Linked DNA regions of Callithrix jacchus. The protein of the gene in region 1 interacts with the protein of each later gene in a biochemical or structural test. Links are inferred from orthologs where the notes say so. Each region holds a gene or a part of one and is shown in the gene's direction. Other genes may lie near its edges.

The links.
Region 2: the proteins of SNTA1 (region 1) and MAS1 interact in a test that uses a peptide from one of them, tested with the Homo sapiens proteins (2 studies listed by BioGRID and IntAct). The link is inferred for Callithrix jacchus from reciprocal best matches to the Homo sapiens genes SNTA1 and MAS1.
Region 3: the proteins of SNTA1 (region 1) and ADRB1 interact in a test that uses a peptide from one of them, tested with the Homo sapiens proteins (2 studies listed by BioGRID and IntAct). The link is inferred for Callithrix jacchus from reciprocal best matches to the Homo sapiens genes SNTA1 and ADRB1.
Region 4: the proteins of SNTA1 (region 1) and MCM7 interact in a test that uses a peptide from one of them, tested with the Homo sapiens proteins (2 studies listed by BioGRID and IntAct). The link is inferred for Callithrix jacchus from reciprocal best matches to the Homo sapiens genes SNTA1 and MCM7.

Annotation. Positions count from the first base shown.
Region 1 is NC_133506.1:5,908,403-5,914,605, forward strand, and holds the end of SNTA1 (alpha-1-syntrophin), read left to right. Parts: coding exon 1-25; intron 26-1,950; coding exon 1,951-2,147; coding exon of another isoform or gene 2,148-2,179; intron 2,180-3,566; coding exon 3,567-3,754; intron 3,755-3,855; coding exon 3,856-3,948; 3' UTR 3,949-4,495; downstream 4,496-6,203. UniProt on the Homo sapiens protein: Adapter protein that binds to and probably organizes the subcellular localization of a variety of membrane proteins. May link various receptors to the actin cytoskeleton and the extracellular matrix via the dystrophin glycoprotein complex.
Region 2 is NC_133505.1:166,710,764-166,718,337, forward strand, and holds the start of MAS1 (proto-oncogene Mas), read left to right. Parts: upstream 1-2,473; 5' UTR 2,474-2,672; intron 2,673-7,574. UniProt on the Homo sapiens protein: Receptor for angiotensin 1-7. Acts specifically as a functional antagonist of AGTR1 (angiotensin-2 type 1 receptor), although it up-regulates AGTR1 receptor levels.
Region 3 is NC_133513.1:106,981,333-106,988,886, forward strand, and holds ADRB1 (beta-1 adrenergic receptor), read left to right. Parts: upstream 1-2,838; 5' UTR 2,839-3,107; coding exon 3,108-4,535; 3' UTR 4,536-5,828; downstream 5,829-7,554. UniProt on the Homo sapiens protein: Beta-adrenergic receptors mediate the catecholamine-induced activation of adenylate cyclase through the action of G proteins. This receptor binds epinephrine and norepinephrine with approximately equal affinity.
Region 4 is NC_133503.1:13,480,839-13,488,473, forward strand, and holds the start of MCM7 (DNA replication licensing factor MCM7), read left to right. Parts: upstream 1-3,425; 5' UTR 3,426-3,522; coding exon 3,523-3,553; intron 3,554-3,801; exon of another isoform or gene 3,802-3,980; intron 3,981-4,276; exon of another isoform or gene 4,277-4,592; intron 4,593-4,731; coding exon 4,732-4,811; intron 4,812-5,126; coding exon 5,127-5,291; exon of another isoform or gene 5,292-5,295; intron 5,296-5,462; coding exon 5,463-5,587; intron 5,588-5,667; coding exon 5,668-5,848; intron 5,849-6,143; coding exon 6,144-6,281; intron 6,282-6,564; coding exon 6,565-6,714; intron 6,715-6,904; coding exon 6,905-7,019; intron 7,020-7,108; coding exon 7,109-7,240; intron 7,241-7,472; coding exon 7,473-7,556; intron 7,557-7,635. Other genes in the region: AP4M1 (AP-4 complex subunit mu-1), read right to left, coding at 531-593, 976-1,056, 1,149-1,259, 1,860-1,956, 2,040-2,146, 2,848-2,936, 3,044-3,101. UniProt on the Homo sapiens protein: Acts as a component of the MCM2-7 complex (MCM complex) which is the replicative helicase essential for 'once per cell cycle' DNA replication initiation and elongation in eukaryotic cells.

The DNA of each region.
Region 1 (6,203 bases):
GTACTGCCCCACTCATCGCCACCAGGTACCCACAAGCAGGGGCAGTATGTCTCCCCAGAGCTTGCCAGGAGATGCTCCAGCAGGGCCCTGAAAGCTGGGAACTCCAGTCCTGTCCTTCCCTCAGCTATTCCCCAGGTGACCTAAAGCAAGTCTCTGCCCTATCTGGGCCTCAGTTTACTCATCTGTAAAATGGGCACTTGGAACAAAAGGATATAAGGTCCCTACCAGCGGCTCATTCATTGACACTTATGCCTTGTGCTGTATGGCTCAGATGACACAGAGCTGATCCCAACAGTTTCTACCTTCAGAGAGAACTTTGTCTTGTTGGGGAGACAGACCCAGGAACAGCCATTATAGTGCAGGGTTTGTAGGAGCCTACTCTGTAGGGGTAGTTGAGGAAGGCTTCAGGGAGGAGGTGACATTTGAGCTGGACTTTGATGGATGAGTAGAAGTTTTCTTCTCATGGTCAAAGGTACAGAGGCATGACGGGCTAAGCCATGTTCATGGAGCTATGAGTTCCTTATAACCAGAATTCACGCAGGAAGTGGACAGAAGGGACTTGGCAGGTGCTGCTCTTACAGAGCTTCTGTTGCCTGATGAAGGAATGTTGGCTTTATCTTAAAAGTTTGGGAGTGTTGAAGGGTGGAAGGAGTGAGGTGCTCTGGTTGCTTTGAGAGAACCCATGTGGCTGCCCCGTGGAGAATGCAGCAGAGAGTGCAGGAGAGAAGTGGGGAAGTGCTGCAGTCGTGCAGGAGAGATGAGGGTGGCTGGCGGAGGTGGAGGTGGGTGGCGGGCGGCCTGCAGATGGAGAAGAAAGGCAGCATTTGCATGGGAAACCACACGGCTGTAAAATTAACAGGGCTCAGTGCTTGCCAGATGGGGCGGGTGAAGGAGGGGTCTGGAATGAACAGGAGGTTTGGAGCTTGTGTCTGGGTGAGTGTGGGACTGAGGGTGGGGGTGGAAAGGGAGGAGGCTGGAGCAAGATGCTGAGTCAAGTCCACAGTGTGTGTGGGATGGAGAGGGAGCTTGGATAGGAAGCTTGGGGACTCAAGGGTCTGCAGCTCAGGGCTGGACAGTGGGAGGCTGGTGTCAGCAGTGGTTCACGGGGAGCTGAGCTATAAGAGAAGGAGTGGGTGGAGGGAAGAACAAAGAGGAATACAGGCCAGAACTCTAAGGTCTGCCCCAGAGAGGGGCAGTTGGCTTACCAAGGCTGCACAGCAAGTGAGAGTCAGGCTGCAGGAGTCCGAAGTCCTTGTCACCCATTTCTCCTTACCTCAGGCTGGCTCTGGCCTGTGTGTCAGGAGCCCGCTGGCTACTAGGGATAACTAGGTTTTGGACAGTCCACTGAATCAAGTGATTCAACTCAGGCAACAAATGTTTATTGAGCAACTACTATGGTCAGGCATGGTTTCAGTTACTGGGAATACAGTGGTGAACAAAGGATCAAAATTTCTACCCTAGCTGACATTTTCGTAAAAAATACAGTAAAAAAACTAACTGAAACAAATAATAAAAAGTATAATTTCTAGTACCATAACGAAAAAGTAAGGCTATTGAGTAACGAGGGTGCTATTTTGGACTGGAAGGTCAGGGAAGGCTTCTCAGAGGAGGTGACATTTAAGCTAACATCTGAAGGAAGTGAGGGAGTGAGCTGTGAGGATAATCAAGGAAGCGTGTATAGGCAGAGGAAACAGCATATGCAAAGGTGCTGAGGCAGGCATGTGCTGGGTGTTGTGTGTGAGGACACCAGTATAGCCAGAGCCAAGGGAATGACGGGGAGAGTGGCAGATGTCTCCTATTGAGTCAATCAGTGCCCCCTAGCAAGTCTTGTCCTGTTAGGTGGTGAAAGATTCCCAGGATTCCTTCCCAGGACACTGATCCCCTTGCCCAGAACTATTTGCCCCCTGCCTGAGGCCTCATGCTTAGCCCTCTGCCCCCCCCATCCCCCAGACTGGTGCACTCAGGCCCCTCCAAGGGCTCAGTGCCCTATGATGCAGAGCTCTCTTTTGCCCTGCGCACGGGCACGCGTCACGGTGTGGACACTCACCTGTTCAGCGTGGAGTCACCGCAGGAGCTGGCTGCCTGGACCCGCCAGCTGGTGGATGGCTGTCACCGGGCCGCCGAGGGTGTGCAGGAGGTGTCTACAGGTGTGCTGGGAGGATCTGGGAGTGTCCCTCTGGTAATGAGCCTCTTCTCCTCAGGGACATTCAAGCTTCCTTCTTTAGGGCACTTCAGACAGGAAATGGGGTTTGGAGGTCAAGGTGGGTGGATCATCTGAGGTCAGGAGTTCGAGACTAGCCTGGCCAACATGGCAAAACCCCGTCTCTACTAGTAATACAAAAATTGGCTGGGTGTGGTGGCTCACACCTGTAATCTCAGCACTTTGGGAGGCTGAGGCGGGTGGATCACTTGAGATCAGCAGTTCAAGACCAGCTTGGCCAAATGGTGAAACCCCGTCTCTACTAAAAATATAAAAATTAGGTCAGGCGCGGTGACTCACGCCTGTAATCCCAGATACTTAGGAAGCTGAGACAGGAGAATTGCTTGGACCTGAGAGGCGGAGGCTGCAGTGAGCTGAGATCACACCACTGCACTCCAGCCTGGGCGGCAGAGCAACAGTCCATCTCAAAAAACAAAACAAACAAATAGAAATTAGCCAGCCATGATGGAACACACCTGTCATCTCAGCCACTTGGGAGGATGGGGCAGGAGAATTGCTTTAATCCTGGAGGTAGAGGTTGTAGTTAGCCCACATAGCCCCACTTCACTCCAGCCTGGGTGACAGAGCAAGATTCGGTCTCAAAAAACAAAATAAAACCAAACAAAACCCCAAACATTAGCTGAGCATGGTAGCAGGTGCCTATAGTCCCAGCTACTTGGGAGGCTGAGGCACAAGAATTACTTGGGAGGTAGAGGTTGTGGTGAGCCAAGATCACACCCACTACACTCCAGCCTGGGTGACAGTGAGATTGTTCCTCAAAAAAAAAGAAACCAACGTTGGGTTTGGGCCTCTGTTTTGGATGTGCAGGTGCCCTGGTAGGCAGAGACTCTTCTCCCTGGGGTTTTCTTGCCCCAGCTTTGTCCATCTGCTGAGGATGTGAGAGATGGCACTTGGGGTAGGGCTGCCAGATGAAATACAGGACACCCAGCTACATTTGAATTTCAAGTTAACAATGAATACTTTTTTCATAGAACTATGCCCAAATTAGTCATTGCTTATCTGAAATTTAAATTTAGCTGGGCAACTCTGCAAGTCTCCAAGGGTGGTGCTTGGTAGATCTGATGATGCCTTTATCAGGAGTGAGCCTCCTGTCCATGACAGATTTTAAGCTCCCCCCTTTATACTGTAGTGCTGCTGGAAGTGGGGCTGGAAGTGGGTATAGGTCCTCTGAGGGTGGGGGTGGTGACTCTCTGCAGGATGGGTATACAGGTGCCACAACAAACAGTGATCCTACCATACATGGAGGCATTTAGGCCCCACTTTGTGACGCTGCGGTGGGGGTTGGAGGTTGGGGTGTGGTCTCTGAGGTGCCAGCTATGCCTGTACCTACGTGCCCCTCCTGCAGCCTGCACGTGGAACGGGCGTCCCTGCAGCCTGTCTGTGCACATCGACAAGGGCTTCACACTGTGGGCGGCTGAGCCAGGGGCAGCCCGAGCTGTGCTCCTGCGACAACCCTTCGAGAAGCTGCAGATGTCTTCAGATGATGGCGCCAGTCTCCTTTTCCTGGACTTTGGGGGTGCTGAAGGCGAGATCGTGAGTGAAGGGCAGCCTCTGTACCCTGGGGAGGAGGGGGTGTGCACTCTTGGAAGCCAGGCTGGCCAGGGCCCTGACTCTTCTCTCCATCCACCCTGCAGCAGCTGGACCTCCACTCGTGTCCCAAAACCATAGTCTTCATCATCCACTCCTTCCTCTCGGCCAAAGTCACCCGCCTTGGGCTCTTGGCCTAGAAGTCGCCGGATGCACTAGCCCTGAAGAGGGGTGTCTATAACATGGCCTGAGCTGGGCCTCCACCGAATGCCTGCTCGCCCCTGGGCTGACAGAAGGGAGAGGAGAGGAACGAGGTTCCTCAGAGACCCCGCCCCTGAGGGAGGCTGGATTGGTCTTGGGGCCCAGGACCCAGACCCAGGACAGAGTGGACCCTGCCTGTGATGGGGTAGCCTTCCTGCTGCCCCCCTCCACTAGTGCCTTTTGCAGAGAGATATTTTGTGTACACAGAAGCCATTCCAAGCCTGGGACCTGCCCCTGTGTGGATCCTGACCCCAGCCAACAGCTGAGCTGCCAGGCCTCCTTGAGGCCCCTAAGCCACCCCCAGAGGTCCCATCTGAAGCTGGAATACCTGGGGTCAGCGGCAAGAGAAAGAAGAGGAGCCTTTCTGTTTGTTTTTCCCCTTAGCTCCGCCACCTTGGGGAGTCTGGTTTTTCTCTTCATCCTTTCTCTCTCCTCCTTACTCTTGGATAAATAAATAGCCTGTGAGCATACAGGCAGCCTGGCCCAGTGTCTGTGGTCTGTGCCTTGGCCTTTGGGCCCTGGGGTGGCCCCTGCAGTCCCAAGATGGACCAGACCAAGGACCGGGGCACCTTTCCCTGGAGAAGAACAGACCTTCACCACAGGGCCAAAGAGAGTGTATTGGTTATTTATTTTTGTGTGACAAATTACCCCAAATTTAGCAGACAAATGACCCTGAATTTTGCAGCTTAAAATGACAAATATTCATTATGTCCTAGGTTCTGTGGGTCAGGAATTTGGGAGGGGCTAAGCTGGGCTGTTCTTGTCTCAGAGTTGCTCATGAGGTTGCAGTCAAGTTGTCGGCCAGGGCTGCAGTCATCTGAAGGCTTGACTGGGGTCGGAGGATCCATTCCAATACTGCTTATGGTCATGAGGTCTCAGTGCCTCACCATGCAGGCCTAACCCTAGAGCTGCTGCTTGAGTCTTCTCATGATATGGCAGTTGGCTTTCCCCACAGTGAGACAGAAGATAGAGCAAGGAGGAAGCCACAAACAGTGCCTCTTATGACCCAGTCTTGGAAGCCACAGACCGTGGTTCTGTTCATTAGAAGTGAGTCACTAAGTTCAGCCCACACTCAAGGGGAGGGGAATCAGGCTCCACCTCTTGAAGAAAGGAATGTGGAAGAATGTGTGGACCTATTTCAAAGCCACCTTAGAGAGCTTCAGGACCCTTTCCTGCAGAAGGGAGGTAGAGTGGAATGTTTAGTGCTTCAGAAACTGTGATGTGCTGGCTGGATGTGAGTGGGCGGTGGCTATGACTCCCTACCTGAAATCACAATGACAACAGCAATGATGGAGAAGGTTTTTTTGTTTACTTTTTTTTGAGACACGGTCTTGCTCTGTCACCCAAGTGGGAGTGCAGTGGTATGTTCTCAGCTCACTGCAACCTCCACTTCCCAGTTCAAGTGATTCTCCTGCCTCAGCCTCCTGAGTAGCTTTTACAGGTGCCTGCCACCAAGCCTCACTAATGTTTTGTATTTTTAATAGAGACGGGGTTTCACCATGTTGGCCAGGCTGGTATTGAACTCCTGACAATCCTCCTGCGTCAGCCTCCCAAAGTGCTAGGATTACAGGTGTGAGCCACCACGCCCAGCTCAGAACATTTTTAAAACTTTCTAAAGATCCAGTTTCTTCAATGTAGCCACAAGATAAAACAAAGATCATGTGCTTGGTGTGCCTGCCTGTATCCCAGCACTTTGGGAGGTTGAGGAGGGTAGATTACCCAAGGTCAGGAGTTTGAGACCAGACTGGCCAATATGGTGAAACCCTGTCTCTAGTAAAAATACAAAAATCACCTGGGCATGGTGGCACCTGCCTGTAATCCCAGCTACTCAGGAGACAGGAGAATCACTTGAACCCCCGGAGGTGGAGGTTGCAGTGAGCAGAGATCGCACCACTGCACTCCGGCCTAGGTCACAGAGCATGACTCTGCCTCAAAAAAAAAAAAAAAAAAAAAGACCAGGTAACTTAACTTTGAGGCAATCACTTTTAGCTTATTTATAATGGCAGCATTCTTTGTTTCTTTGTGAAAATGAAACTTTCTCAGCTTATCCACTAAATTTTCAGCAATATCCCAAACCATGAAAGACTCACTCATTTCCTTCTGGCCATCAGCAGTCTGGTGCCTTCACTTGGAACACCCTGTGAAGTGTTTTTGAGATGTGGTCTTGCTTTGCTGCCCAGGCTGGAGTGCAACT
Region 2 (7,574 bases), on another chromosome or scaffold:
ACAGAAATAGCCAACCTATTTGTGGCTTAAATGCAAGCAGTTTTATTTTTACTGTGAGCTGCTGTATTTTCTCTAAGGATAAATCATTATCTGCCACAAATGCGACTCCCTCTCCATCTGTGATAGTTCCTGCTTTGTTAGTGGTGCCAATTAGTCACAAAACAACTGGGGCCTTCTGCCACCCACTCAAGCCGGGGACGAAGAGAGCCACCTCTTTCAGGCTCCCCTAGCCGGCCACCAGCCCCTTTGGAGACTTTCTCCCTACCTAGAAGCCATCAGGCCATTCCAGCTTCACGGTGGCTTGCCCTTCATTCACTTCGTGACCATTATCAACTTCCACGTTGGGCAGCTTGTTGTCCTCTGCCTGTCGGGACAGACTTCTGTTCTGTTAGATGCTGGAAAAAGCAACTCGGTGAGGCCCTCAGTTCTGTTGACTTACATAATGACGTCGGCATCCTCCTTCTAGTTGGTCACTGTGCAGGGTTTCACAGCACCCATAAGGACAGGGTGAAATGTTCATAACATCTGGACAGCCCCTGCTCTGAGAAGCAGTGAATGTGGAGCAGAGAGGATCGCTCTGTCCCATCCCATCTCCATCCCGCATTTCCTTCAGGGTCTCTTGCTCCCCTGCTGGGATTGGAACCTTCCTGGGCAGCCTGTTCTTTCTCTCCTAATTGTGTTTTCTGCCGTGGTTCTGATCCTTTCCCACCAGGCACTCTTTCTTTTCTGCCTTGCCGTTTGCTTTAGCTGGTGCCTGTTTCCTTTTAGTTTCTGACCATCCTCTGGGAAACTAAAGTTCTCCAGGAGGCTGACCTTCTCCTTCCTTGGAACATCAGAACCAGGTAATGAGAATACCTTTCCAACTTCAGGATCTTCTGGTCTATTGATTTGCTGAAATCAATAGACCAGCAAATCACCTGTTCTATTGATTTGGTGCTCAGCACTGCCTACCCAGTAGATGCCTGCTGGCTCCAGGGGAAGCTTTCTCCTCTCCCCTTTCTTCTTCCCTCTAGGAGGACTCGAACTGCTGGTCAGGCTTCCCACAAGAGTAGTTTGGCTCTGCCCTGGGACTATGGTCTTATTGCTTACGAAATCAGTCAGAGGGAAACTGCATCTATCGGTGCCTATGGCTGCTTTCCCACAGAGTCTGAAATTGCCTTCTCACCCATTTTGATATAATCAGTCCCCAGGGTCCCTTAATAATTTGGCACAGTATCTATGAAGGAATCCCTTTACATAAGAAAAATGCTACCATGAGTGAGGGCTGGGTCTTCAGGCTTGGGTTCTCAGGCTTGGCTACCTGAGATCCAAGAGATCCAGAATACTCCTGCTCAGCCTTTGGTGCTTCACATTGGGTTCTTTGAAAAATGGGTAACATATTGACCATTTTTGGTTTAAAAAAAAGAGAGAGGAAAAAAAAACAAACAAAAAAAAAAAAAAAAAGGAAAAGTGCAGAACAGGGATCAGGGAAAAAGGAATTTGCTCTTATGTTCCTGACTGCACGGGTGAGAGTCTGCATCTAAGAGAAACAGCTGCTCCCAGGAGGAGTCCCCAGACCAGGCTGGGAAGCAGTCTGGGCAAGGCCAATGGTGCAGACCCTGCCTCCACCCCTGGAACCCGCTCCTTGGCTTGTTTGCTTTTCACTGCATCCTATGGGTCTTTTTTTTTTTTTTTTTGAGATGGAGTTTCGCTCTTGTTACCCAGGCTGGAGTGCAATGGCGCGATCTCGGCTCACCGCAACCTCCGCCTCCTGGGTTCAGGCAATTCTCCTGCCTCAGCCTCCTGAGTAGCTGGGATTACAGGCATGTGTCACCATGCCCAGCTAATTTTTTGTATTTTTAGTAGAGATGGGGTTTCACCATGTTGACCAGGATGGTCTCGATCTCTTGACCTCGTGATCCACCCGCCTCGGCCTCCCAAAGTGCTGGGATTACAGGCTTGAGCCACCACGCCCGGCCCCCACCATGGGTCTTATATACATTGAGCGTGATTGTCTCTGAAACTGGGTTGTAGGAAGGGAGCAAATTCTTAACTGTCTAGCCACATATCTCCCACGTGTCTCTCTGGGTCTATACATAGTCTTATCCCATCATTACAACATGTCAAGGTCATATTATTAGCTCCATTTTACAGGTGAGAAAACCAAGTCTTAGAGAGCTTGGCAGAGGTCACATGAGTAATTAGAAGCCGAACTGAGAATTTGAGCTGGTTCTGTCTTTCCACTACACATGTGGTTTTGCCCTTCCATGTGGCATTTCTCCAGGTCATCTTTCTCTTTAGCCCTGGCTGGCCTTTGTGGTTCGAGGTGGTCCACTGCCTTGCGTTATCATCAGTTCACATCCCGCTCTGGATTGGCGTGAAGATTTTCACTCGAGTGTGTCACCGAATGATGCCATTGGAAGCTTCTGCTGATAAGCGTGGGACCATCTGCTTGGCACTTCTCAAATATTTTCAGCAGTGGGAGAGCAGCTCTGATTCCTTCCGAGATGAGAGGCTGCAGCCATGCAGCCTTCGAGATGTTGGAACTGGAGACCCTGCAGGCTGGCTGGGCATTGATGCCCCAGACGCAAAGGGAAAGCCAGCCTGTGGCCACTTCTGACCCTTCCTGAGCAAATGACACCAGCGAGTCCGCGTCCCAGTTTTTCATTGTTCAGCTGTCCTTGACAACCAGAGTAAGATTTCCCCTCTTTAAAAAGCTATTTCCTGGGTAACTGTTTTCTGTGCTGGTTTTCTTTTTTGTTTGTTTGGTGTGTTAGATGTTTGCTGTTGGAATGTGTTGGCAAAATTTCTGTCTCCTCCTGCTTTTGTTTCAGAAAATTTACTTCTTTGCTGAGTTAACTGTTCCTAGGCATCGTTGTTCAACTTCAGGGTTGAAACTTGTGAGTAGCGTTTTCTTTTTTAAGTTGTTGCAGGGGAAAGAATCTTAGGATCAATTCACAGTTCGAATGGTGGACTTGGAGGTTTTCAAGGTTCTTAATGAAAACTGATGAATGATAAAGAAGTTGAGCTTTGAAAGAGTTGCTCCTGAATTCGATTCCTCTGGAGAAATTACTTGGCTCACAGCTGTTGGGCATCACTGGGGCAAGCTGCATTGATTTTTCTTCGTTTTTCCATAGTGGGCACTGGCATCAGTGTTAGCTTCTGTTGCTTATGAAGGTCACATGCAGCACTTTGGTGACAAGGTATCTATTAAAAGAAATCTGGGGCTCAGTCTTGATCTTTGGTACGAGAATTTTAGCAACACTTCCCCATCAGGATACTTAGAGGGAATTTGATGAGAGAATGTATAGGGTATTGTTAGATGGCTGTGGGTGCAGCAATAAAAAGGTGATCACGAGCTGGCCTCTGGCAGAGTGCTGTGGACTGGGCACCACTGGCTTCCTGGGCTGGGTAAGTCTTTGCCGCGTGGGCTGTCCTGTGTACTGTGGGATGTTTAGCAGCAGCTCTGGCCTCTACCTGCGAGATACCAGTAGCACACTCCTCTCCACTGTGACAACCAAAAATATCTCCAGTCGTGCCAAACATCCCTTAGGGGACAAAATCACCTTCTCCCCTTGTATACCAGGGCTCTAAATTGATCCTGTAGTATGTTTAGAAAGGGAGTAAGAAGTCTCTGCCTCTCCATGCAGATGGCCCTAGTGTTGGGAAGGTGGGAATGGTGCATTTAGTACCAGGACAGATGTTCCTGCCCTGTACATTCCCCTCAGAGCCCTTGCCTGCCATGGAAATTCCATCTCACAAATGGGTTTCTGTTTGTCCGGGTGACTGCACACATACACAGGGAAGAATTTGCCCTTTTCTCTGGATCTGCACACCTAGAAAGTCCAGCCTACAGTCAGGCTCTCTTTTAAGTTGCCTGGGAACAACAGGAAGTTTCAGATGGCCCACTCCTCAAACCTGAATTTTGTTGACTTTTTCTCTTTCCTTTATTCTCCCTGCCTTCCTCCCCAGCCCCCTCTTTCTTTCTTCTAAGAGTGATGTGCTAGGCTGGGAATCTGGGGCCATGGGAGGACTGTACTCAACTGAATGGGAATGTGGAAGGGGTTGTTTGCTTCTGAGGTCTCTAGAGAACACTTGAGCAAGCATAAATGTATGGCATTTAGAACTCTCTGCCGACTCTGAGTCTCCTTGTTTTTTCTGTCAGCTCCCCCATCCATCTGTTCCTCTCACTATCATTGAGAGGTAAATGCAGCCGGCAATCTCAGGTAGACCTGCCGGGACACGGGCTCTGCAAAGCCACATCCTTACACATCTATGGAAACCACCATGGTTGTTTTCCCTGCTTATTGATTCATTCTCTCAGTTTGGCATTTCCATGAGACTCATGGTGGCACTTGTATTTCATATACCCCAGCCTTTCACAAATACATTAAAATGCCAGTTCTGTGAAGCAGTTGAGGCCCAGTGGAGCTAAGCACTTTGACATAGGACTTGCCTGTAGTGGTCAGTTGGACTGAAAGTGCAGCTCCCAGGCTGAGCAGCCGTAGGCACAGGCAGAACAGACAGTGGCCTCTGTGTTGTTCTTTGATCAGTGTCAAACCTCTCTTCTCAAAAGTCTCTTCTGCATTCAGATGCGATACTGCCTACAATTCTTTGAGTTTTGCAGGTGGGTGGTGGGAATTAAGTCCTACTTTCTACCATGGTTAGCCTGGATTGTGGTGGCTTGTTTGAGGTGCTGGAGCCTGAACAGACATGGATCATCCCCATGGGGGCAGCCACGCTGGGGTGAGGGCAGTGGCAGTGGTGGCATGGAAGGGGATATCAGTGCTGGGCAGGGCAGGAGGATATCTGCATGGCGGGTGCAGGGAACTGGTACTGGGTGCTGGAGCTCCTGCTGGGTGAGATCTGTGTCTCAGGGTGGGGGGCAGGGGCAGCATCAGCCCAACAGGAAGTAAAAGGACTTTACAAATTGAGGAGGCTGTCTGTGCAGAGGCAGGGGAAGAGCAGTGGCAGACATAGGCAACTGTTCTTAGATGGGTTGATCAAATGAGTAAATGCAGAGACGACCATGGAAGCCAGGTTACTCAGAGAAGGGAGTTACAAATATGGAGAGGGAGAAAACGCGAATGAATTCATTGGTAGTGGGTCAAAACTTGAGATATTGGTGTCAATTCATGATTATATATATATATTTTATAAAGATATAAAAAGATACAGGAATGCAGCTGTAGGTGTGTGTATGTACAACTATACATAAATGTATCTATATACATATATTCCTTGGCCCTTCCCCTGAGAGGGCCTGGAAGCAGTGACAGCCTCCTAGCAATGAGCACATTTTGCACCCAGATCTTGGTTTCTAAATGTGATTATTAACTAAAAGGAACCAGGGCTCCTTGGAGAAATGGCTGATTCTAGGCACTGGTGCAGGTGGCATACAAGATTATGGTAAAATGTCCAGTTTTTTTTTGACTTGGAAGGCCAGGCATATTGGAAGAAGTGTGGCCCATCGGGGAAGGTTGGATTTCTGTTTTGGCTCACTGAGGCTGCTGCCACCATGAGAGGCCCAGTTGGGCCTCTCATACCTGGGGCTGTTGGTTATATGGCTCTGATATGCTGGGGAGATATGTGAGCTAAAGCTGTGCATTTGGATTTCATCAGCAAGTGGTGATGTTTTGAAATGGTGGGATTGGACAAGACCACCCAAAAAGAGTCTGTGGAGTAGGAAGGGAAGAGGGTCGACAATGGAGTCTGCTGCCTGGCCAACATGGCAGAACCCCATCTCTACTAAAAATACAAAAAAATTTGCTGGGCATGGTGATGGGCACCTGTAGTCCCAGCTACCTGGGAGGCTGAGGCAGGAGAATTGCTCAAAACCGGGAGGTGGAGGCTGCAGTGAGCAGAGATGGCACCACCGCACTCCAGCATGGGCAACAGAGTGAGACCATGTCTCAGAAAAAAAAAAAAAAGAATGGATCCTGGTGGAACTCTGAGACACAGGGCAGTGTGAGAAGAGATCCAGAGAGGGAGACAGAAGAACTGCAGGAAGGCAGGAGGAGAGCCAGAGGGAAGAAACTGTGAGGCTCTAGCATCATCTCAGAGACAGCAGCGGGGAGACAGGGAGTGAGGTTCCACTGTGAGGCTCTAGCATCATCTCAGAGACAGCAGCGGGGAGACAGGGAGTGAGGTTCCACTGTGAGGCTCTAGCATCATCTCAGAGACAGCAGCGGGGAGACAGGGAGTGAGGTTCCATAGCAACAGTCGTGCGCTGGGGAGGGGCTTGAGCCTGAGATCGTGTCTCACCCCCTTCTGGAGGACTTGGCTGAGAGCGCTGCACTGTTGAATGGACTGGCTCACTTCTCTTCTTTGTTCTGATGAAAGGACACGCCTGAATTTCTTCTCCCTCTGACATCAATGATCTTTACCCATAATGGCAAAGTGTGGTGTTCTTCATCTATAGAAGTGTTTATTGATCATGGTGATGGCCATGAGCCACTCTGTGTCACAGAAGAAAGTGAAAACAGAGACAGTATTTCTGAAAAGAACTCATTCCTGTGTGTTTGTGTTGTTTTGGTTCTGGGTTTGGTATTGGGTGGATGGTGCTTTAATAAATAAACATCCATTATTTGATAAATAAGATCCATCCTTTGATAAATAAAAAGAATCCATCTTTTAAGGTTGTTAATAAAGATAATTAGCGACAGTGCAGTTGATTGTGTGGTTGCTTCTGGCGACATAAAAGCCATTAATAAATGTTCCCAAGGTCCTAACAGCCTCACGAATGGGTGTGTGAACTTCACACATAGATAGACTGTTGACAATGAGCTGGTGCGTGTGTGTGTTGGGTGGGGCAGGGGAGGGCTAGATATAGCGCCAACTTGGACCTGGGCAATCCAGGCCCCGCTGCTGCCTTTGTTACTAAGTATGTAACCTTGGACTAGTCCTGAGTTAATTTCCTCACCTGGAAAAACAAGGGGGTGGTTTGCAGTGTCTGCATGATTTTTTCAAGCTCTAAATCTTAATGATTAGCAGAGGACGGTCGGACTTCATCAATAAGGAAGCGTTTTTAAGAAAATTCCAAGCAGCATCCTTTCATGTTTTTAATAAAATACTCCAGTTTCTGGGGAAAAATAATTTGTAACATATATGACCAAGTGTCATTTTTTTTTTTTTTTTTTTTTTGCCAATCAGTTTGAGCTAATGAGGTTGCTCAGGTTAGCCTTGAACTGATGACCTCGCCTTCGCGAGCGCCATGAGCTCCGGCGTGAGCCACTTTGGACTGTATTTTTTTTTTTTTTTTTTTGAGATGGAGTTTCACTCTTGTTACCCAAACTGGAGTGCAATGGCACAATCTCGGCTCACTGCAACCTCCACCTCCTGTGTTCAGGCAATTCTCCTGCCTCAGCCTCCTGAGTAGCTGGGATTACAGGCACGCGCCACCATGCCCAGCTAATTTTTTTGTATTTTTAGTAGAGACGGGGTTTCACCATGTTCACCAGGATGGTCTGGATCTCTTGACCTCGTGATCCACCCGCCTTGGCCTCCCAAAGTGCTGGGATTACAGGCTTGAGCCACCGCACCCGGCCTCCAAGTGTCATATTTACAATTATTTCTTGCAATTCAATAAAAGAAAT
Region 3 (7,554 bases), on another chromosome or scaffold:
TACTCCTGCTAGAATAGCCTTCTGGTTTTCAGTGTTTATAATTTAATGTATTTATTATACAGAAATTCAGAGAAACTTGATGTATTTCTGAATGAGCAGGGGAAAAAGTTTCAGGAGAGTTTTCAACAATTCAAATGTCACAGTGTGTTTATATACGTAATGATGATACAGCAAAGTTACTGGCATCTGGCTTCTGCCCTGAACCTCTACAACCAAGTTCTGGCCTTATCGCACACAGAAAAGCAATGCCTTCCACCCTTCAAGGCCATTTAAGGTTGGTACACTATTCTGGTAACACCACTTGACAGAAAGATGGCAAGGAAAAACCTCTTCCCCACATTCCCTGTGCCTCACCCTGCAGCCCAGCACTCAGAGCTCCTTTCCTGAGCAGCATCAATTTCAACTTCTTCCAATCCCTTGGCTATTTTGAGACTGCCCCTTGGGGGCCCAGAAAGAAGCCAGAAGGCTGGGCACAGTTGCTCACTACTGTAATCCCAGCATTTTGGGAGGCCAAGGTTTTCGAGACCAGTCCATGGTGAAACCCTGTCTCCATTAAAAATACAAAATTAGCTAGGTGTGGTGGTACATGCCTGTAATCCCAGCTACTTGAGAGGTTAAGGCTGGAGAATCCCTTGAACCCAGGAGGCAGAGGTTGCAGTGAGCCAAGATCGTGCCACTGTACTCCAGCCTGGGCAACAAGAGTGAAAAAGAAGGAAAGAAAGAAAGGAAGAAAGAAAAGAAAGAAGAAAGGAAAGCAAAGACAAAAGGAAGGAAGGAAGGGAGAAAGAGAAAGGAAGGAGCGAGGGAGAGAGAAAGAAGGAGAGAAAGAGAGCGAGAAAGAAAAAGAGGGAAAGAAAAGAAAGAGAGAGAGAAAGAAAAGAAAGAGAAGGAGAAAGAATGAAAGAAAGACGCCAGGAATCTCAGGCTTGCGGTGACATGGAAAACTTGGGGTGTAGTCTCCTTCTTCCCCTTTTTCTAAGTCCTCTTGTTTCCTGGCACCCCTCCTCAACCCCCCCAAGTTGGCAAATCAGCTGATAAATCCTGGGCAGGGAGTGAATAAGCAAATTACTCCCCAGTTGTAACACTCTAACCATCAGTCTTGGGCCTAAAGCAAATTCATATGTTTGCATTTCTGTAAAAGAAAGTGGTTAAAACTGCTTGGCTTTATATAAACTTTAAAAACATTCCTTTTTGCTTTTGACCTGGACAGCTGTGGAAATCAGTCTCTCCTTGCAAGGTAAGAATATGAGCTTGATCATACTGACGACCAACATCAGCAAAGATGCTGATGTTCATTGCAGGCACTGTTCTTACTCCAATGCCAGAAGGACCTGTGAGAATTATATAACATTTTCATGCACCCTTACATAAACAATTAGAAGCTGTTTACTTCTCAAGGACCCAATTAAAGATATTTTGTTTTTCGAGCCTGAACTGAGGACACTACAGGGGCCAAATGAGAGAAGGGGCTTGCAGTCCTGCCGCACTGAATATTCATGGCTGTGCCCCCACCCCAATATAATCCATTTCGCCAGGTTAACAACTCACTCATTTCAAAGCGATTCATTTGCCAACTCAAAAAAACACAGATACAACTTTAAATGCTTTCGGATTTTAATCCTCTGGAGTATTTATATGTGTTCTTGTCTCATCCCTCCAAAACTAATCCCAGAGTTTTGAGAATCTGGGAACTTGGGAAAAGGAGAAAACAAGCAGCAGACCAAGGAATCTGAAATGGTAGTTCATGACGTCAGCCGAAACTGACAGTACCTTTGTGTTGGTACTGACCTAGCTCAAATTACAAAATCACAAGAGTAATAAAACACAAAATACAGGTGTTATCACTGACAAGTCTAAAATGTAATTAAGCATGTTTTTTTTCCCCTCGCAGTCGTACCGTTTGCTCTGTATCTCAACGTTTCTGTCTCCCTAAGCCTCTCCCTTTATCATGAGCACACACCGTTGCATCTTGCTCACACATTCATTAGCTGGGACTGAGGAGTGAATACGATGCCAGCGGGTCCTCAGCGTTAGCTGTTAGATGCACAAACCTTCGCATCCTTTCCACTTCCACTGCACTTGAGGTTCAACAGAAGATCCCTGCAAGAACAGCGCCCAGAGAGCATTCTGAACAGATGCGCCCTTGGCTCCAGCAACCCGCTCTGCTGGGAAGTTTCCTCTAACCACTAACACCCACCTCTGATCCCCCAAGCTGTCACGACACAGGCTGGCTGGGTCGCCTCTTGACGGGGGAAGGGTTTTACACACACCCTGCTAGGCTGCCCCATGCCACAACCAAGCTCGCAGGGCAAACTCCTTCATGCCCGGCGGGCAAGCAGTCCCAGGCGCTCTGGCGCTTCCAGAACACCAAGGTCCCCTCCTCGCTCCAAGGAGCGAGCGCTCTCTGCCGCAGGGAACCCCCAGGACTGCAGGTCGAGGGGATGCTGGGGAAGCAGGGGCGCAGGAGGGAGCCTGGCGCGGGAGGCAAACGGGGCGCAGCAGCGGCTGCGGGAGCACTTGGGGGCCGCGGGAGGGGGCGGGGCCCCTCGGGGGAGCCGGGCGCGGGAGGGGGTGCGCGGAACAGGGACCTGGAACCAGCGGGCGCAGGAAGGGGCGCGTCCGCAGGAACCCGCGGGCCGCACGGGAGGCACTAGCTCCGCGATCAGCTCCGGACTCTCAGGAGCGGCTCAATTGCCAACTGGAGTGGGGTGCGGGGAGTTGGGGGGGGCAGACCCGACGGGGGCGTGCCTTTGCCCCGATTGGCTACAGGAACCTGACGCGAGGCCCCGGGGGTTGGCTTGGGGAGGTGGGAGCGGGGTGGGGTGGGTGCTGGGTGCCGGAGCTGCGGGCCCGGCGCGCTCAGAAACATGCTGAGGTCCCGGCGGCTCTTCCAGCAGCGGCAGCGGCGGCGGCGGCGGCGGCGACAGCGACAGCGCTCGGATCCGGCGGGAAAGGCGCCCGGCGCCCATGCCTCCGGCCCCGCGCCGTGGCTGTCCTGACCCGGCCGCGACCTCCCTCGGCGCACCCCGCCGCCCGGGCTCCTGGGGTGTTCCCTAGCCACTGCCCAGCCCCGCCACACCCACCGCCCCCGGCCTCCGCAGCTCGGCATGGGCGCGGGGGCGCTCGTCCTGGGCGCCTCCGATCCCGCCAACCTGTCGTCGGCTGCGCCGCTCCCCGACGGCGCGGCCACTGCGGCGCGGTTGCTGGTGCCCGCGTCGCCGCCCGCCTCGCTGCTGCCTCCCGCCAGCGAAGGCCTCGAGCCGCTGTCGCAGCAGTGGACGGCGGGTATGGGCCTGCTGATGGCGCTTATCGTGCTGCTCATCGTGGCGGGCAACGTGCTGGTGATTGTGGCCATCGCCAAGACGCCGCGGCTGCAGACGCTCACCAACCTCTTCATCATGTCCTTGGCCAGCGCCGACCTGGTCATGGGGCTGCTGGTGGTGCCGTTCGGGGCCACCATCGTGGTGTGGGGCGGCTGGGAGTACGGCTCCTTCTTCTGCGAGCTGTGGACCTCGGTAGACGTGCTGTGCGTGACGGCCAGCATCGAGACCCTGTGTGTCATCGCCCTGGACCGCTACCTCGCCATCACGTCGCCCTTCCGCTACCAGAGCCTGCTGACGCGCGCGCGGGCAAGGGGCCTCGTGTGCACCGTGTGGGCCATCTCGGCGCTGGTGTCCTTCTTGCCCATCCTCATGCACTGGTGGCGGGCGGAGAGCGACGAGGCGCGCCGCTGCTACAACGACCCCAAGTGCTGCGACTTCGTCACCAACCGGGCCTACGCCATCGCCTCGTCCGTGGTCTCCTTCTACGTGCCCCTATGCATCATGGCCTTCGTGTACCTGCGGGTGTTCCGCGAGGCCCAGAAGCAGGTGAAGAAGATCGACAGCTGCGAGCGCCGGTTCCTCGGCGGCCCGGAGCGGCCGCCCTCACCCGCCCCCGCGCCCGCGCCGCCGTCAGCGCCAGGACCCCCGCGCCCCAACGCCGCCGCCGCCGCCGCCCCCCTGGCCAACGGGCGCGCGGGCAAGCGGCGGCCCTCGCGCCTCGTGGCCCTGCGCGAGCAGAAGGCGCTCAAGACGCTGGGCATCATCATGGGAGTGTTCACGCTCTGCTGGCTGCCCTTCTTCCTGGCCAACGTGGTGAAGGCCTTCCACCGCGAGCTGGTGCCTGATCGCCTCTTCGTCTTCTTCAACTGGCTGGGCTACGCCAACTCGGCCTTCAACCCCATCATATACTGCCGCAGCCCGGACTTCCGCAAGGCCTTCCAGCGCCTGCTCCGCTGCGCGCGCAGGGCCGCCAGCCGGCGCCACGCGGCCCACGGGGACCGGCCGCGCGCCTCGGGCTGCCTGGCCCGGCCCGGTCCTCCGCCGTCGCCCGGGGCCGCGTCGGACGACGACGACGACGATGTCGTCGGGGCCACGCCGCCCGCGCGCCTGCTGGAGCCCTGGGCCGGCTGCAACGGCGGGGCGGCGGCGGACAGCGACTCGAGCCTGGACGAGCCGTGCCGCCCCGGCTTCGCCTCGGAATCCAAGGTGTAGGGGCCCGGCGCCCCGGAACGGCTTCCCGGGGGATCTCGGAGATCTGTGTTTACTCAAGACCGAAAGCAGGTGAACTCGAAGCCCACAAACCTCGTCTGAATCATCCAAGGCAAACAGAAAAGCCACGGACCGTTGCACAAAAAGGAAAGTTTGGGGAGGGGTGGGAGAGTGGCTTGCTGATGTTCCTTGGGTTGTTTTCCTTCTTCTTCTGTTTGTGGTCCGGCCTTCTTTTGTGTGTGCCTGTGATGCATCTTTAGATTTTTCCCCCCAGGTGGTTTTTGACTCCACGAGGATGGGAGTGGAAGCTGGGTGGGCAGGGGAAGGGAGAAGAAGCATTAGGAGGGGATTAAAATCCGATCAACCTGGCTCCCGACCCTGTCCCAGGAACAGGGGCAGTCTACCAGCCAGAGAGAGGAGAATGACAGTTTATCAAGGCATATTTATTTCCTTTTGCTTTCCAGAGAAATTTCATTTTAATTCCTAAGTAATGGTTTCCGCTGTTATGAAAGCGAAAAGGATGGATGCAAAAAAAAAAAAAAAATCACGTTTCAAGAAATGTTAAGCTCTTCTTGGAACAAGCCCCAATTTGCTTTCCTTGTGTAGGGCAAACCCTCTGATCCCCCGCGCGCCTGGATGGTCAGGCTACGGGATTTCTACCTCACACTGTGCATTTGCACAGCAGATAGAAAGACTTGTTTATATTAAACAGCTTATTTATGTATCAATACTAGTTGGAAGGACCAGGCGCAGAGCCTCTCTCTGTGACATGTGACTCTTGTCAATTTAAGACAGGACATGAAAAGAGAGAGAGAGACAGTTTTGATTACTGCACATGTGGATAAAAACAAAAACAAAAAAAGGAGTGGTTCAAAATGCCATTTTTGCACAGTGTTAGGAATTACAAATTCCACAGAAAACATTACTTGCACAAAAAGAAGTTAAATATTTTTTAACTGGGGAAGTGGTGGGCAGATCTTAAAAACTAAAATAAAATTCAAGCTCTACTTCTGTTGTCTAGTATGTTATAGAGCTAATGATTTATTGGGAAAATACCTTTTTATACTCCTTTATCATGGTACTGTAACTGTATCCATATTATAAATATAATTATCTTAAGGATTTTTTATTTTTTTTATGTCCAAGTGCCCACGTGAATTTGCTGGTGAAAGTTAGCACTTGTGTGTAAATTCTATTTCCTCTTGTGTGTTTTACCAAGTATTTATACTCTGGTGCAACTAACTACTGTGTGAGGAATTGGTCCATGTGCAATAAATACCAATGAAGCACAATTGAGATTATGTATCGTGTGTCTGTACGGGGTCAGCAATAATGAAAAAGACAGCTTGTTTTGTTCAGAATACAGACTGGATTTCTATAGAGCTCTTTTAATAGGTTTTCATGATTCAATAACATAGCAAAATGCCTCCAGACCAAATAAGGTGTTTACCTACTGAGAGCTCCAGATTTGCCCTAAATTTTCACAGCCAGATTAAATGTGTAGGCACTTTCAAGATCCCATCTGCTGCACTTGACTTAAGAAGTGACATTTGGGATTGCTTATATTCTAAAAATAAATTTAAAAACCAGTGATGTGGCCATTTAACTCAGCTGCAACTTTCATGGAAATGCAGGAAAGACTCATTGAATGATCAGTTGCCTACTTGGAATGCAGTAAGTGGCTTCCACAGCTTATTTTTGTTTTCCAATAGAAAATCACAGCCTGCAGATGATCAGTGTGTGCAGATTTCTCCAGAGGCTGTTTAGAATGAAAAATGCTTTCATGGTTAAGCAAAAATATATAAAAGGGCTTCTGAAGTAAATGTTTTTCCTCTAGCGTAGTCAAGTAGATCATTTTGCCAGAAGTTCTGGGTGGACAGATCACAGGTAAAAGCAAATGTGAAAGGATTTAAGTTTCTAAGAAAATTAAAGCACCCAAAGGATGGGGTCTTTTTCATAAAGTTAGTTCCTAAAGGAAAGTATGGTGAAATTCTGTCCTGATAGTGATTTTACATTATCCAAAATACATTAAAATACTCTATTTTTAAATAGGCTTTTTATATCATGACCATACAGTAAAGAAATCAAAGTAAAGAGTATTCATGTCTGGCTTATGCTACACTTTAACACGAGAGAGTATTCTCTAATAGGGAAATGTCGAGACTGAACATTGTTTTTTGCAATGGCATATTCTAAAGACAAGGCAACCATCTTCTGAGAAAGGTTAATGACGTAGATGTTTTAGAGACCAGCAGAAGGTTGCACAAACAGGAGCAGCCTCAACAAAAGCTGCTATGAAGTTTAACCCCTTTCCAGCAAGAAAGAGAGAGAGAGAGAGAGAAGAAAGAAAGAAAGGATGAGCTTCTTTAAGAATATAAAAATAAATATTTAAAGAAATATATTTTGGAGCATGTATAATCAGTCTCGGGATGAATGTCACTATAATTTCCCTAGGAACCAAATATGGTTAATTTCTATCCACTCCCCACCATGAGTGTGTAAGATGCATTTTCTTAGGGGTTTTGTCCTTTTTTGTCTGAAATTACTAGACACTGAAGTAGCAGTTAAATGCTTCACTTTCTTGATTTCCTGATTATTTACTTATTTTGTCTAGATAAGTCTTCACATTTAAATGAAAAGAAATCTTCTCAGCCCAAAACATATATACGGGCCCATCAAATTTCAGGTATTAAATGACAAAAGTCCTTTAAGCTTTAAGAACAAATGTATATAATTTAACCACTTAGTACCCAGGCTCAATCACTTTAGTGAGTGAGAGGAAGCCCCTATAATCTTGGGACTGGTTTCTATGTATTGGCAGGAAATAGGATAGATTTTTTTGTCATCCCCCATGCTCTCCAACTGAGTATTACGTGGATTCAGAAACGGACCCTGTCAGTGATTCCAAATATCCGTGAAGACTACTTTTCGTCGATTTTGAAGAAGGCAGCCATTGATTTATAATGGAAAATGTGGGGAGATAGGCTGCCAGTCCCAGTAGCGATGGCAGTGGGAGGAGAAG
Region 4 (7,635 bases), on another chromosome or scaffold:
GGTGCCTGCAAGCACGCTTGGCTAAATTTGTCTTTTCAGTAGAGATGGAGTTTCATCATGTTGGCCAAGCTGGTCTCAAACTCCTGACCTCAAGTGATCCACCAGCCTCGGCCTCTCAAACCGCTGGGATTACAGGCATGAGCCACCGTGCTGACTTCTTTCTTTAAAGAGACAGCGTCTTGCTCTCTCACCCAGGCTAGAGTGCTTTGGTGCCATCCTGGCTCACTGAGGCCTCAATCTCCTGGGCTCAAGCGATCATCCTGCCTCAGCCTCCCAAGTAGCTGGGACAGCAGGTGTACACTACCATGCCTGGGTAATTTTTTTGTATTTTGTAGAGTCAGGATCTGGCTATGTTGCCCAGGCTGGTTTCAAATTCCTGGCCCCAAGTAATTATCCCATCTCTGCCTCCCAAAGCACTGGGATTATAAGCATGAGCCACCGTGCCCAGCCATTGCTGGAGTCTTAGCCACCCCAACATGTGTCCCAAATCTCATTTGTCCTCAGCTCAAGGGATGGGAGCTCAAACTTACATTAGATGCTATCAGTACAGATAATCTCTCAACCACATCCAAAAAAACTTCATTCTTCTGGCTCTGAGAAAGAGAGAGGATTTGGGTCGTTGGAAGCAGAACAGTCTATGTTCTGAAGTGGACAGACAGAAGAAAGAACAGAAGAATGGTCAAAGCTACAGCTCTAGGGTAGGGACACAGGTGCCAGAAGGGATACCCACATCTAGGAGAGGTGGAAAACGTACCAAGATCTTTTTTTTTTTTAATTTTTGCATTTTTAGTAGAGATGGGGTTTCACCATGTTGACCAGGCTGCTCTCAAACTCCTGATGTCAGGTGATCTGCCTACCTCAGCCTCCCCAAATGCTGGGATTACAGACATGAACCACTGTGCCCAACCTAAAATCTTGGACTCTGGGGTCCCAGAGCAAAACCACAAGGTTGGACCCCATGGATCCCTCTCTCACCTGGTCAGAGCGACTGGACAGAATGGGGCGGCTGGCTGCACTGCTGGGGGCCACTTTGCTCTGTTGTGTCTCAGCCCCAAACTGTAAAGTATCCAAAGCAATCAATCCTCAGGTCTGACAACCCCAGGCAACACCCCTTCTCCTTCCTCACCCTCCTCTTTTTCTCTGCTGACCAAGCCAACACTGCTGAGGTCAAAGAGGCTGAAGGGCTTGCTGACCACAGCTTCCGTCTGGATGAAATTCCTCAGCATCTCCATAGATGTGGTCTGTACGTAGCCATAATCCTAGCGTAAAAGAAGGACAGTCTGAGAAGTCAGTGGAGGGAAGGGGTAAAAAAGGTGAAGTGGGGGCCGGGTGCAGTGGCTCACCCCTGTAATCCCAGCACTTTGTGAGGCCAAGGCAGGTGGATCATGAGGTCAGGAGTTCCAGACCAGCCTGACCAACATAGTGAAACCCCATTTCTACTAAAAATACAAAAAATTAGCCAGGCAGGTGGCATGTGCCTGTAGTCCCAGCTACTCAGGAGGCTGAGGCAGAAGAATCACTTGAACTCAAGAGGCAGAGGTTGCGGTGACCAGAGATCCAGCCACTGCACTCCAGCCTGGGCGCCAGAGACTCCTGTCTCCATAAAAAATAAACAATTAGTTGGGCACAGGGGAGGCTGGGGCAGGAGGATTACTTGAGCCCAGGAGTTCCAGGTTACAGTGAGCTATGACTGCACCACTGCACTCCAGCCTGGGTGACAGAGCAAAGACCCTATCTCTAAAAGGTAAAAAAAAAAGGAGTAGACTTGGTCTCCCAACCACAGCATCCCGCAGTAGAAGAGCAGAAGTATCTCCAGGGGAATTGGGGGGCGGGCACAGAAGGGGATCATTGATTCTCACCAGCACTTCATCCAGGAGCTCGTAGACCACAGCCACGTTGCGGGAGATGGTCCCCTCACCCAGGGCGCCACAGTAATCGCCCAGAAGGGTGGCCAACCTGAAGAAACACTTGGGAGTATGCATTTCCTCCTCCTCTTAGACCCCCACTAGCTACCAGGTGTCCAGCCCAGCCCTCCTCACCTGGAGAGCAGTTCTAGGAGGCCGAAGGGAGAAACGTTTTCTGAAGTTGTGACCACCAAATAGAGGCCGCTGTGTCTGATGTGAATGAAATGACGGCCCTCGTGATGCTGAGACACAGGCAGGTAGAGTAGCATTAGGAAAAAGGAGCTGGGGTGATCAGAACCCAGGAGACCTGAGCTCGGATCCCGATGCCTCTTACTAGTCACAGTAGCAGTGACTTCGGGAGATACATGACAGGTTCCTGAACCCAGCTTCCCAATGTGGAAACGGGGTTAATTACAGTAGCTACACCTAGTTGCTGAGGATGGAGTCATAAAGGGAGCTGGGCCTGGTGTTTTGCTGCCACCTGATGTAAGTTTTTTTTGTCCCAACGTCCCCCCCCCCCCGACCCCTGCCCGATGTAGTCTTGCTCTGTCACCCAAGCTGGAGTGCAGTGTGGCGATCTCGGCTCACTGCAGCCTCTGCCTCACGGGTTCAAGCGAGTCTCCTGGCTCAGCCTCCCTAGTAGCTGGGATTACAGGCGCTCACCACTAGGCCTGGCTAATTTTTTTGTATTTTTAGTAGAGGCGGGGGTTTCACCAGGTTGGCCAGGCTGGTTTCGAACTCCTGACCTCAGGTGATCCGCCCCCCTCGGCCTCCCAAAGTGCTGGGATTACAGGCATGAGACACCGGGCCTCTTGTTAGTTTTATATGGAAGAATGCACCCCATCCCAAGTGGAAGCTACCAAGGAATCAGCCCTGGGAGGGAGCCGGCGGGCCAGGTGGGCGCCGGCTCCCTGCTCCCCACCCGCCTCCCGCCAGTGGTTACCATGACAACCGGGGACTCGTCTCCTGGCAGTCCCGTCAGCTTCCGGTAGAAGAGCTCGGCCACATCCCGGCCGCCACTGTCCCCACGGACTGGCGGGTGGAAGAACTCAGTGAAGAAGCCTGCGACACGGGCTGGCCCCGGGCGCCCCTCCCGCCCGACACCTCCGCCCCTTCCCAGCCCCGCGGGTCTAGGATACAGTCTTTGTAGATGAGCGGGTCCCCCTTGGAGGACAGAATGAAGAACTGGGAAATCATGGCCGTTCTGGAGAGTAAACGAGAAGACGGCGAAAGTTGGGCCTGCCCCGCCCTGAGGCCCCGGAACAAAGGAACACGCGTGCGCTGGCCCTTTAAGAGCGATTCTGCTCCGCCTAAGCCAGCTCGGACCGCGGGAAACCAGACGCCCGCCCAGCCTAGCTCGGCGATTCCCTCCCGACGCCCACACCGCCTCCCCGTCACTCATTCCAGGTCCTCCTGGTGATTGGCTTGAGGCTAGCTGGAGGCGGGGAGAGGGCCGGCCTCTGCAATTGGCCGGCAGGCAGTGGCGCCGGTCACGTGGGGGCGACGTTTCGCGCCAATTTCGGTTGGTCAGCCACAGTCCACCGCGCGGACGTTCTCCGCTTGCCCGGGACCCAGACCTCTGAGTCCGCCAAGCGCTGCCGTACGGGCCTCGGTAGTGATGGCACTGAAGGACTACGCGATCGAGAAAGGTACTGCTCTACGAGCCTGGGAGGGCGTCCTGCGCGGGGAGCCTCCCGGGGAACACCTATTGGTGTGAGCTGGGGTCTTGTGGAGCCGGGATCAGCAAGTTCTGGGGACCACAAGGCTAGAGGCAGGGTCGGGCGGCCGCCCGGCTGAGGCCCACGAGGCGCAGGTGGCATCCATGTTGAAGAAAAGCTGGTAATCCCACGTAGTAAAGGTGTTAGGGTCATGGAGTTGGGGGCTTGGGGGCGCTAACCTGGCTGGGGGGGTGCTGCATAGGGGAGAATCGCGCCCAAGACCTCGGAGTACCCTAAGGACTCTGGGGTTCCGGGCCTGCTTTCCTCCGCGCTTTTGGGCATTCCCCAGTTCCCGCGTCCTCCCGAGGCGCGCGGAGGCCCTGGGGGCGGGCAGGCCGGGCCGCTACGCACCAGGATTGGCCGTTTGAGGCCGCCCTCCAAGCGGAAGTGGAGCCGGGCGGAAGTGGCGCGACGCGGATGGAGGGAGTGTCGTGTAAACAGTGTCCTTCCGCGCAGCGGCCTCGGAGAGAGCTGTGGCCCAGGGGAGGGGGCGTGCCTGGGAACCGGGAGCTTCGCTCGTGCCCCGGAAAGGCGGTAGTGGGCTGGGATCGCGGCGGCCCCAGGCGTGTTGTCCAATGGCTGGATGGGCTCCCGCCCTGGGCGGAGGAATCCCGGGCTGTGAGGCGGCTGGAATCCGGTCCCATGTGCTTCTTTGTTTACTAAGAGCGGAAGCGCTGGCGGGAGCGGGGGTGGGGTGCGCGACCCGCCTGATGGCGGAGGTCCTGGCGAGATCAGGGGCTCAGGGGCCCAAAGAAGGTGGGGGATCATAGGGGTGGAAGGAAGGCTGAGAACCTTGAGATCGGAGTGTGGGGCGCCGATGAGGAAGGGCGCTAGGGTTTTAAAGTAGGGACCGGAATTCCCCTGGGAAGACGATGTTGGATCATCCTGTGAACTGCCACGACCTCTTTATTCTTCGCTGATTAAAAACAAACTTGTGAAAAAGAGTTATACCCATTTTGGGGAGAATTCGGTAGGTTTATTTAAATGCTCATATCGTTAACTAGTTCATAAATCGTGTTTTAAGTGAAAATAGGCGTCTTAGATTTCTGTCAGAGGGATGGGCAGTAATATAAAGTTTGTGTCTTATGATTTTACCTTTTACGTTACAGAAAAGGTTAAGAAGTTCTTACAAGAGTTCTACCAGGATGATGAACTTGGGAAGAAGCAGTTCAAGTATGGGAACCAATTGGTGAGTCTAAGATTGGGTAAAGAGAATGAGGAGTCGGGTTTTAAGAAGTCCTAAGAAGCGGCTTGTTTCATCAAGGATGTTTTTCTGACATGTTTATCAGGGCATTTGATATCTGGTAAGAGAATGTGATGCTATAGTATTTTCATAATAATTAGAGAGTTTGGGGGCTGAGAAGTGAGTGTGCTCTCTGAGGTGCTATGTTCTCCCCTGTGGATGCCCAGAGCCCGTGCTGAGCTCTCAGTGATGCATCTTCACACGTGAACACTGAACAAGTGAACATGGCTCTGAGGTGTTGCTGTCTCTTTCCCACCTGAGGTTCGGCTGGCTCATAGGGAACAGGTGGCTCTGTACGTGGACCTGGATGATGTAGCTGAGGATGACCCTGAGTTGGTGGACTCAATTTGTGAGAATGCCAGGCGCTACGCAAAGCTGTTTGCTGATGCGGTACAAGAGCTGCTGCCTCAGTACAAGGAGAGGGAGGTGAGTGACTGGAGAACAATGCAGGGCAAGGCGTTTCAGCTTCTGTTAAGAAGCTTCTCAGATACTGATGTTTTCGGAGCCAGGCAGAAAGCAGGGGCACTTCTGCCTGGCATTGTCTGTGCTCTCCTTTCCCCATCCTGTTACTCATTTTTTTCTGCTCTTCTCCTTTAGGTGGTAAATAAAGATGTCCTGGATGTTTATATTGAACATCGGCTTATGATGGAGCAGCGGACTCGGGACCCTGGGATGGCCCGAAGCCCCCAGAACCAGTATCCCGCTGAACTCATGCGCAGATTGTGAGTGGTCTCTGTTGGGAAGGATGTAGGGATTGGTTTGTGACTCCAGGATCTTGTTTGTGACTGTTTTCTCCTCTTAGTGAGCTGTATTTTCAAGGCCCAAGCAGCAACAAGCCTCGTGTGATCCGGGATGTGCGAGCTGACTCTGTGGGGAAATTGGTGACTGTGCGTGGAATCGTCACCCGTGTCTCTGAAGTCAAACCCAAGATGGTAGTGGCCACTTACACTTGTGACCAGTGCGGGGCAGAGACCTACCAGCCGGTACGTGTGGAGGAAGGAGCAGGAAAGCACTTCACACTTAGTCATTTTATAGAAATTGATATGATCCATGATGCCTATCGTTTTTTCTGGTTGTAAAAGCTACCTATGTGTTCACTTTTCATTCTTGGGTATGTAGTGGTCTTTCTATTTTCTGGGTGTCTTCTGTTGTCTAGAATAAGCTCAAAGAGTTCTTGATTCAGAAGATGTCTGCCATGAAGAGAAAACATGATTCAAGAGACCGAGATGGGGCTGTTTTTCTTCTGACTTCCTTTGGTGTTTCTGTTCTCAATCCTAGATTCAGTCTCCCACTTTCATGCCTCTGATCATGTGCCCAAGCCAGGAGTGCCAAACCAACCGCTCAGGAGGGCGGCTGTATCTGCAGACACGGGGCTCCAAATTCATCAAATTCCAGGAGATGAAGATGCAAGAACATGTGAGTTTGGGGTATGTGGCCCTGGGCAGGTGGATCAGGAGTCCACTTGAATCCTGTAGTCACTGGTGGAATGGCAAGAAGAACAAAAGAGGGAAGTGCAGGAGTGAGGTGGAACTGGGGTTTCTTGAGAGCCTTGGCAAGGGGAGAAAGGCAGTCTCAGCTTCCGTCCTGTGGGCTTATCTGTGGCTGGGCAGGCAGGGAGTCTTGGCGTGGGATGCCTAGGGAGGGAAGGTTGGGTCCTTGTTTATTTCTCCTGAGCCTTATGTGCTCTTCCCTCCCCTAGAGTGACCAAGTACCCGTGGGAAATATCCCTCGTAGTATCACAGTGCTGGTAGAAGGAGAGAACACAAGGATCGCCCAGCCTGGAGACCATGTCAGTGTCACTGGTATCTTCCTGCCAGTCTTGCGCACTGGGTTCCGACAGGTGGTACAGGTAAGGAAGGGAGTTTGATATGAGGAACAGATCATCCCATTTCCCCTCACCCACTGTACCCATACAGAGAAAAGTGAGTAGCAAAGCACCAAACAAAACAACACAGTGCTTTATCAAGAAATTGTTAGGGAATCTGGTGATGGGTAAGTTCTAAGGATTGCATCTGTATCCTGACATTTTCCTGCCTAAGGGTTTACTCTCAGAAACCTACCTGGAAGCCCATCGGATTGTGAAGATGAACAAGAGTGAGGATGATGAGTCTGGGGCTGGAGAGCTCAGCAGGGAGGAGCTGAGGCAGATTGCAGGTGATGCTCAGGAGAGAGAGGAAATTCCGTTTACATCCTACCCCCCCATTTTCCCCCACAAAATACCTTAACCTTAAAATTCTCCACAGAGGAGGATTTTTACGAAAAGCTGGCAGCTTCAATTGCCCCAGAGATATATGGGCATGAAGATGTGAAGAAGGCACTGCTGCTCCTGCTAGTGGGGGGTGTGGACCAGTCTCCTCGAGGCATGAAAATCAGGGGTAAGAAGAAAAAAGGGCAAGGCTCAGGGTAGATGAAGTCATTTGGGAGGAAAAAAGGATGACAAGTGTCCCCATAGGTCACAGTATAAGAGTGGGCGTCTTCGATTCATGGACACAGGGAGGGCTTAGAAGTAATGCTAGGTGTTGGGGGAGGCAGAATTCAAAATTGCTCTGCTGTTGGCCAACTTGCACTGGGAGAAGAGTCATTCCTGGGCTGCCTGTCTTCCTCTAGGCAACATCAACATCTGTCTGATGGGGGATCCTGGTGTGGCCAAGTCTCAGCTTCTGTCATATATCGATCGCCTGGCCCCCCGCAGTAAGTAGTTGGACTTTGAGAGGGGTGAACATAGTGACAGACAGGACCACAGGGTTTATTCAAAAAGTGGGGGTGCATA